2 linked regions of the Elephas maximus indicus genome follow. The protein of the gene in region 1 purifies or fractionates together with the protein of each later gene. This does not show direct contact. Links are inferred from orthologs where the notes say so. Each region holds a gene or a part of one and is shown in the gene's direction. Other genes may lie near its edges. The genes, in order: CXCR4 and TMEM63B.

What was found.
Region 2: the proteins of CXCR4 (region 1) and TMEM63B purify together in Homo sapiens (co-immunoprecipitation; 3 studies listed by BioGRID and IntAct, with this or other methods). This does not show direct contact. The link is inferred for Elephas maximus indicus from reciprocal best matches to the Homo sapiens genes CXCR4 and TMEM63B.

The regions. Positions count from the first base shown.
Region 1 is NC_064824.1:31,281,964-31,285,871, reverse strand, and holds the start of CXCR4 (C-X-C chemokine receptor type 4), read left to right. Parts: upstream 1-1,091; 5' UTR 1,092-1,186; coding exon 1,187-1,201; intron 1,202-3,343; coding exon 3,344-3,908.
Region 2 is NC_064819.1:108,669,562-108,673,469, forward strand, and holds the start of TMEM63B (CSC1-like protein 2), read left to right. Parts: upstream 1-1,412; 5' UTR 1,413-1,573; intron 1,574-1,819; exon of another isoform or gene 1,820-1,865; intron 1,866-2,100; 5' UTR 2,101-2,154; intron 2,155-2,460; exon of another isoform or gene 2,461-2,763; intron 2,764-3,289; exon of another isoform or gene 3,290-3,380; intron 3,381-3,908. UniProt on the Homo sapiens protein: Mechanosensitive cation channel with low conductance and high activation threshold. Osmosensitive cation channel preferentially activated by hypotonic stress.

The DNA.
Region 1 (3,908 bases):
GGTAACACCATCCCACACGGTTGTGAAAATGAATGAGCGATGATGTGAAATTACCTCGTGACCTGTTACAAAAATACTATTCACTAAATATCTCTTATATCAAAGCACACTTTTGTATTTTTTTTTAAGTACTATTCATGAACTGGTTGCCACTACTGACATTCCTAAAGAGCCCTAGTGGCGCGATGGTTAAGCACTCCGCTGCTGACTGAAAGATTGGAGGTCCCAAACTACCAGCAGCGGGAGAAAAGATCTGGCAACCTATTCCCTTAAAGATTAGCAAAGCCAAACCCAAACCCGTTGACTTCGAGTCGATTCCGACTCATAGCGACCCTGGCTAAGAAACCCTGTGGAGCAGTTTTACAGGGTCACTGTGCGTCGGAATGGACTGGAGGGCACACAACACTGACATTCCTGCCAAGAATACAAATCTATCTCTCCATCACCTTTTCTCTATCTTCAGGATGATGCCAAATCCTACCTTCTTCTGAAAGTATTTCCTGATCGTCTACACCTGACCTTGGTGCTTTTACTGTGAATGTGCACGTAGGTCATATACAGTTGCGTTCCGAAGAAAGGATCTTAATTTACCTTCTCAAAGAGCGCAATCTGATAAAAAGAGCGTGACACGGAGTCATAGGCTCTGGCCCCACTTTCAGCACTGCCACCTACTGGTTGGGTTACTCGGGCAAGTCTACCCCTCTCTGGGCCTCAATGTCTCCATGTGTATAATTCCCAGGTCTGGAATTCCACCTGGGGATTAAGGATGGATGCACCACGCAGGGACGCATCCCTGGTCCGCGCTTCCCACCTCCCTCCAGGCGCATCCCGCTTTCCCAAATTCGAGGACTCCTCTGGACTGCTCTTCCAGCCTGGGAGCCTCGGCCAGAGACCAGCGGAGCGGCACCCGCTTGGAGACTTCCCAGGTCTACTCCTCCAAAGGAGCCTCGGCGCCCACCCCTCCGCCCCTCCCTCGCGTCTGCCCCTCTCCCTCCTCTCCGCCTTCCCTCTCCCTGCCCCGCCCACCCGCCCGCCCGCATGACGCACGCGCAGCCCGCGGAGCCTGTATAAAAGTCCAGCTTTGGCCAGAAACTTCAGTTTGTTGGCTAAGGCAGCAGGTAGCAAAGACAACTCGAGGATTTGGGTTCTCTGGTAGCCACCGCGGCTTGAAGAGCGAGCGGTTACCATGGGCGAGATCAATGTAAGTCCACTTTCAACCTGCTTTTTCTTAAACGTACAAATGCATAAACTTAGAACGCAGCCCTTCTCCGAGCGGGCAGAAGCGATCCGAACACTGGAGATGCCCGTTCTTGGTAGAGGGGGACATGGAAAAGAGTTTTCATGCGTATGGCTGCACAGGAGGGTAGGGTTGGAATCTTTTTCTCTGTAAATAGAGAAGGAAAGATTTGAACGGCAGTTCGGGTGATTGCATGTGTCTCCCCCCTGAGTCCCGCGCGCGCACCGGAGTTGCACGCTGTTTGCAAACATAGGAACATTCTGTGCACGACTGCAGAGAAGGCATGCACGCTCCCTCCGAGACTCAGATGGAAGGTCTCTTCCCGGGGAAGGGGTATTTCTTGGAGCGAGTTACGTTATCTGAAATTAGAGGAGGAGCTCAGTTCTCACAGGGAGACTCTGCCCCTCCGCCTTAACTTTGGGCAAAGGCGCCTGGAAAGCGCTCTGGACGTTGGACGCGTGTTTGCTAAACTGCGTGGTCTGCGGAGGTGTGCCAGTCCTCGGGCATAGTGGCAAGGGGTGGAAAAGGCGAGCGAACCCACCGCGTCGCTTGCCTGAGTGGGGCCAACAGTTGTTAAGTGGCCCACAGCAGCCCGCGCGCCTTGGGGTTGGAGGGGAGACCTGGACAACCGGAGCGCACCCCTTGCCCCCTCCCCCCGGCCGCAGTGTGGGCCCCATGGCACGGGAGTTTGACGTCTTGCCGAGGTCCAAGGGGTATAAACACGTATCGCGTAGCAGCGGCTGGAGGTGTGCGCGGCAGGAGAGGCGGGGGGACGAGGGGGCAGGATTGGGAGGTCACCTGGATTTGCCCGGTCCTCCCCCGCGCAGATTGGCAGGTGCAAGCGCAGAGACCGTTTCACTCCCTGGGAGCTCAACTGCGCCGTTTAACCGTCGGTGGTTTCCTGGAGCCTTTGAAACCCCCTGGCTAGTGAGGCTCTTCATCTCCTCCCGCGGCGCGCAATTCAAAGTTGCTCAGGGCGGAGCTGCCCAATCGCTCCCCAGCACCCTGCAAGACTTAAGTCCGCTGTGCAGCGTTCGGAACCCCTGGAACTGCTGCCCGCCCGCGGTGGGCCTGCGTGTGGTGGGCGGCGGAGGCGGCCCGGAGCTGGACAACTTGGCCCCCCGCGCGCCCACCGCCTGGTGCTTTTCAGCTGCCGACCTCCGACCCCGTTAGCTGGACTGGTGGCGGGGTGGGAAGGGACCTGGGAGAGTAAGGAAATGAAACTTGGGTCGAGGACCACGGGCCCGAACCCCGTGACCTTCCCCACCCAGGGAAATGCCGCGCCTCCTTAACGTCCCAAATGCGCCAAGTGGCAAACACAAGTATAGCAAAGGAGACGCACGTCTCCGAGGCTGGGGAAGAGTACCCAAAAAAAAACCAAACCCGTTGCCGTCGAGTCAACTCTGACTCATAGCGACCCTATAGGGGTGGGGTACCGATTTACTCCCTACTGACGCCCACGCCCAGTACCCCAGCACTCCGGTTGCTTTAAGGCGGCATCCTCCTTCCCCACCACATGTTGCTTGAACTGCAGAATGGTTTGTATATTTAGGTAAGCCTGAGGAAAATTGTATCTTGCTTTAGAATAATTCTGAGTTTTTCGTGCCTTACTTAGGAGAATTCAGAGTACTCCTCCCGCCTCTTTTCTCTCTTCGGAGAATCTTCGTGTAGAACGTTAATCCCAGCTCCGCAGAACAGATTCTGCCCCCACCCTCACGCCGCCTGGGAGTGGCCTCTTTGTTGTGTGCGCGTGTGTGTTGTTTTTTTTTTCTTCCCTGTAGTGGGCAGGGCAGAAGAGTAAGCAAAGATTGCAGCTTTGAAACCTCAGAATCTCACGCCCTTTTGTTCTAAACAAAGAATTTTCTAATTGGTTCTACTAAAGAAGCATGTGATGAGTGACTAGGGGAACGTGGGCGGGGGACCGTAAGCTTCTATCATGCTGCTAGTGTGCCCTTACCGAGTACTTCAGTGGGAGCAGAATTTCCTGAAGGAGGCTGGGCTGAGTTGGGTTTTATAAACTGTTTTTTTTTTTAATCCCAGAAACATTTTTCTAACTTGCCTGGTGAACTTGGAAGTTAAATGGCCTTTCCCTTGCCTCTTTTGCAGTTTTTCACTATGGACAATGAGACGGAGGAGGTGGGCTCAGGTGACTACGACTCCATAAAGGAACCCTGCTTCCGGGAAGAAAATGCCCATTTCAACCGATTCTTTCTGCCTACCATCTACTCCATCATTTTCTTGACTGGCATAGTGGGCAATGGATTGGTCATCCTGGTCATGGGTTACCAGAAGAAACTGAGAAGCATGACGGACAAGTACAGGCTGCACCTGTCAGTGGCGGACCTCCTCTTTGTCCTTACACTTCCTTTCTGGGCCGTTGATGCCGTGGCAGGCTGGTACTTTGGGAAGTTCCTGTGCCAGGCAGTCCACGTCATTTACACGGTCAACCTCTACAGCAGCGTCCTCATCCTGGCGTTCATCAGCCTGGACCGGTACCTAGCCATCGTCCACGCCACCAACAGTCAGAAGCCAAGGAAGCTGTTGGCTGAAAAGGTGGTTTATGTTGGCGTCTGGATACCCGCCCTCCTGCTGACTATCCCGGATTTCATCTTCGCTAACGTCACTGAATCAGAGGAGAAATACATCTGTGACCGTTTCTACCCCAGTGACT
Region 2 (3,908 bases), on another chromosome or scaffold:
TTTAACTGACTGAAAACTCAGGCTAAGGAAGGCAAGAGGGCTAATAAAAGCATACAGAAGACCAATGCTTTTCAAACTTCTCTGTGATGTACAGAAACATTTTGCACAACACTTGCTAAATATATTCATACATGAATACCTGAAACAAGTTAGTGTCAAGGAACAATATTTACCAAATGCAATGCACTCTTGACATTTTCTATTCTATTTCATTATTTTTAAAATGATAGTTGTGATCCACTAAACTGATTTCCACCTCACTAATATGACTCACAGTTTGAAATACACTGCCATAAACTGAACCCTACAGTTGCATCCCACAAGCTATTAATGAACTCTTTAAAAAGCCAGTGGACATCAACTGGCCTAACACAGCTCAGAAAGATAATGCTCTACATCCTAGGTTGGTGAGTAGCATCTGCGGTCTTAAAAGTTTGCAAGCAGCCATCTAAGATACAACTATGGGTCTCTCCCCTCTGCAGCAAAGGAGAGTGAAGGAAACCAAAGACTCAAGGAAGCAATTAGTCCACAGCACCAACTGCCCACACGAACCACAGCCTCCTCTAGGCTGAGACAAGAACTAGATGGTGCCTGGCTACCACTAACAACTGTTCTGACCCGGGACACAATACAAGGTCCAGGTTAGAATGGGAGGAAAATTGTAGGAACAAAACTCAAATTCCTAAAAAAGGTCAGACTTACTGGACTGATTGTGATTACAGGAACCTCCAAAACTATCGCCCTAAGATATCCTCTGAACTTGGAACTGAAGCCACTCTTGGTGGTCACCGTTCATCAAAATAAGAGATCAGCTTGTAAACACTATCATCATCGCGGTGGGAAAAAAAAGCCAGTGGACAGCAAAGACGCTGACCAATCACAGCAGACACTCCCAGGTAGGCTGTCTCCCTCCTATGTCTGGCAGCCACAGCTAGCCAGCTCCCCACCATCACCAGCAACCTAGGTTTAAGTATCTCCTAAACTCCCCGCTTTTCCCAGGTAACCCAGGGAGAATCTGTCGTATGCCTTTTTAAATCTCTATAAATTCAATCCATTCAATCTCTCACGGTGACAAAGTTGATTCACTGCCCACGGTGGAAAGCAATACTTCCTTTACATGCCCAAACCACCTCCCCTCAAGCTTAATGAAAAGAATGCCTTTCAGGAAGCCCAAGTGAAATGAACAGGTTGGTGCTCCTCATGCCTTTGTGATTTGTGTGGGTGAGCTATAGACAGAGTATGCACACATCTCTCAGCGCGGTGTTCATCTTCTCAGCCTTCGTCGTTGGCAGATCCAGCCTCTGGTGAAATGAGAAACCAGGAAACCCCCTGGATCCGGGGAGCCGCTCATCGGCCTGATTGACGCGAAACCAGGAAACTCGCTCACGTCCCACTGCACAGAAGCGCCTGGCAAACGAGTCAAAGCCACTTCAAGCCCCAAATCCTGAGGAGGGAAGGAGACACTCGAGGAGACGCGCCGGCGTGGCCGGCCTAGTTCAGGGACTAAAGCGGCTCGCCAAGGCCCGAGCGCAGCCCACCTTTCCCCAGGCCGGCCCCACTCCTGGGAAGGCAGGTGAGCGCGGGCCGCGGGGGACGCAGAGGCCGCGGGGACCACCGGCGCCCACGGGGTCGAGATGAGGAGCGTCCGGGTCAGGCCCGCGCTCCCCAGGACCCCTTCCACTGGCACTTCGACCCCAAACGGCCCACGACCCTTCTGCTGCGGCCTCCCCTTACCCACCCCTGAGAACTGAGCCTCCCCTACAGCAGAGAAGAAGGAGATGGGGGAAGAAGAGTTAGGAACGTGACGGCCCCGCCATACCGCTCTCGCCGCCCGGGAAAACCCCGTCTCGGGACCCCGGCCAAGCCCCGCCCTCCCCTCCCCCGCGTGGCCCCTCCCCTGCGCCTGCGCGCCGGGCCCGGCGGGGGCGGTGATCTGAGAGTGCGCGCGCCCTGCGTGTGCTGGCGTGGGGGGCGGGACCTGCGGGGCCCCGCCCCCTGCTCCCCTCCCTCCTCCCGCTCCCCCTCCCCCATACACTGCCGCGGCCGCCGCAGGAGCCCGGAGCTCCAGCCGCCCAGCGACTCCCCCTCCCCCTCCCCCAGCCCCGCCCCGCCCCAACCCGGGGCTCGGAGCCGGAGCCGAGTCTGCGCCTGGGGGTGAGTACGCGACCCCTCCCCAGCCCCCTCTCTTTTCTTTGAGGATCCCCCCACCACCCAAAGAAAAGAGCTGGACTCAGCTACGCGTCCCCTCCCTTCAACCTCCTGCGGGACCCGGAGGTACCCGGGCCCGCGGGACCCAGCGGTGGCGCGCGCTGTCCCCAACCCCGCACCATCCCGATCCAGATGTGAGTCCTCAGACCCTGCCGAGTGTCCAGATGTGCGCCGCCTTCTGTCCCCACCTCCCTGGAGATCCCAAGGGGTGGGACCCCCGGCCCCGACCTCCTAGCGCCACTCTCCTCCTACCTGCCCAGTCTAGGTGCGCGCGCCCTCGGTGGGTTCCAGCTGCGCCCCACCAGCTCGTCGCCGCTGTGGGGAACCAGCTGCCCCCGCCCCCGAGTTTTGGATTCTGGGGTCGCTGAGTACGATGCCCTCGGTCGCTTTTATCTTTTCTCCTGCTCCCGGATCCGAATATCTCCGAAGCCAGCCCGGGGTTGGAGCAGGGTTCGCGGGTGCTGGCTTGAGGCCGCCGCTGCCCGCGGCCGGTCTGGGGACTGGGCGGCAGGCCGGGGAGGTGGCGGGCCCCGGGAGCGTGTCCTCTCCTTGCGCCCCACACAGTGCAGTTCATTCATGAGCCGCTCGGGCCTGCGTTGGAGGGTGCGGTGGGGAAAGGACTGAGCCGCCGAGCAGGGAGTGGGGCAAAGGCCCTGCTGGGGGGAGGGGGCCACGCTTTGTTCTTCCTGGCCTTCTTCACTGCCGGGGGCGGACAGTCGCAGGGCTTTGGCCTCTTATTCCCCCAGAAAAGGAAAGGGCGCTTGGGAAATGGGGAGAAGAGGTCAGAGGGGCCGGCTGCCCTTGGAGCTCTGTGCTACTACCTGCCTGGGTCCCCTGGGCAGAGGTCTGGCTGCTCAGGGCAAGCCTGAACACTTCACCACCCTGGGGGCTGGGTTGTCCCTACCCAACACCACTCTCTACCTCTCCCTGAGTCTGCAACAGCCCAGGAAGAATGAGGCTATACCCAACCCCTCTCCAGGAGGGGCCCCCAGTCCTGCCTCCCAGACACAGGTGAGGAGGGGAATGGGAGTGTCTGCCAGGCTTCAGGTAGAGTGTCAGGTCAGCATGACTTGTCTTACAGGGCACCAAAAGGTCCAGACTCTGGCACGCCCTGGGTGGCACATCCTGGGGCCTGCTGTTGGCTCACCAGACACATCCTGGCCGGTGGGTAGGTAGGTGGGTGCGTAGAAATGTGGCAAAGCAGAAGGCAGGTGGTGGGTAGCTGAAAGCCCCCTTTTGGACATGGTACAAGTTTCCTCCAATTATACAGATTTTAGAGACCTGGGTTCAAATTCCATTCTACCATTCATTAGCTGTGTGACCTTGACAAGTTACTAAACCTGCCTGAGCCTCAGTTTTTATTAAAAAGTATGGTTACCACCACTTTCTTCCAAGGTTTATCGTGGGGTTCAAACTTGGTAACACAGGAAAAGAGCCTGGCACCTTGCCTGACAAGTGATCAATAACAGGTTCTCTTCTCTGAACTTTTGACCCATCCTGGCATGGCATCACCCTGCCATGTCCCACCTCCCACCCTGCTGCAGATGGATCAGGCATATTTGAAGAGTTTGGGAGTATTCCCTGCCACTCAGTGACAGAGCACCTCAAACCTAAAAAAACCAAACCCATTATTGTCAAGTTGATTCCAACTCATAGTGGCCCTATCGGGCAGGGTAGAACTGCCCCATAGGGTTTCCGAG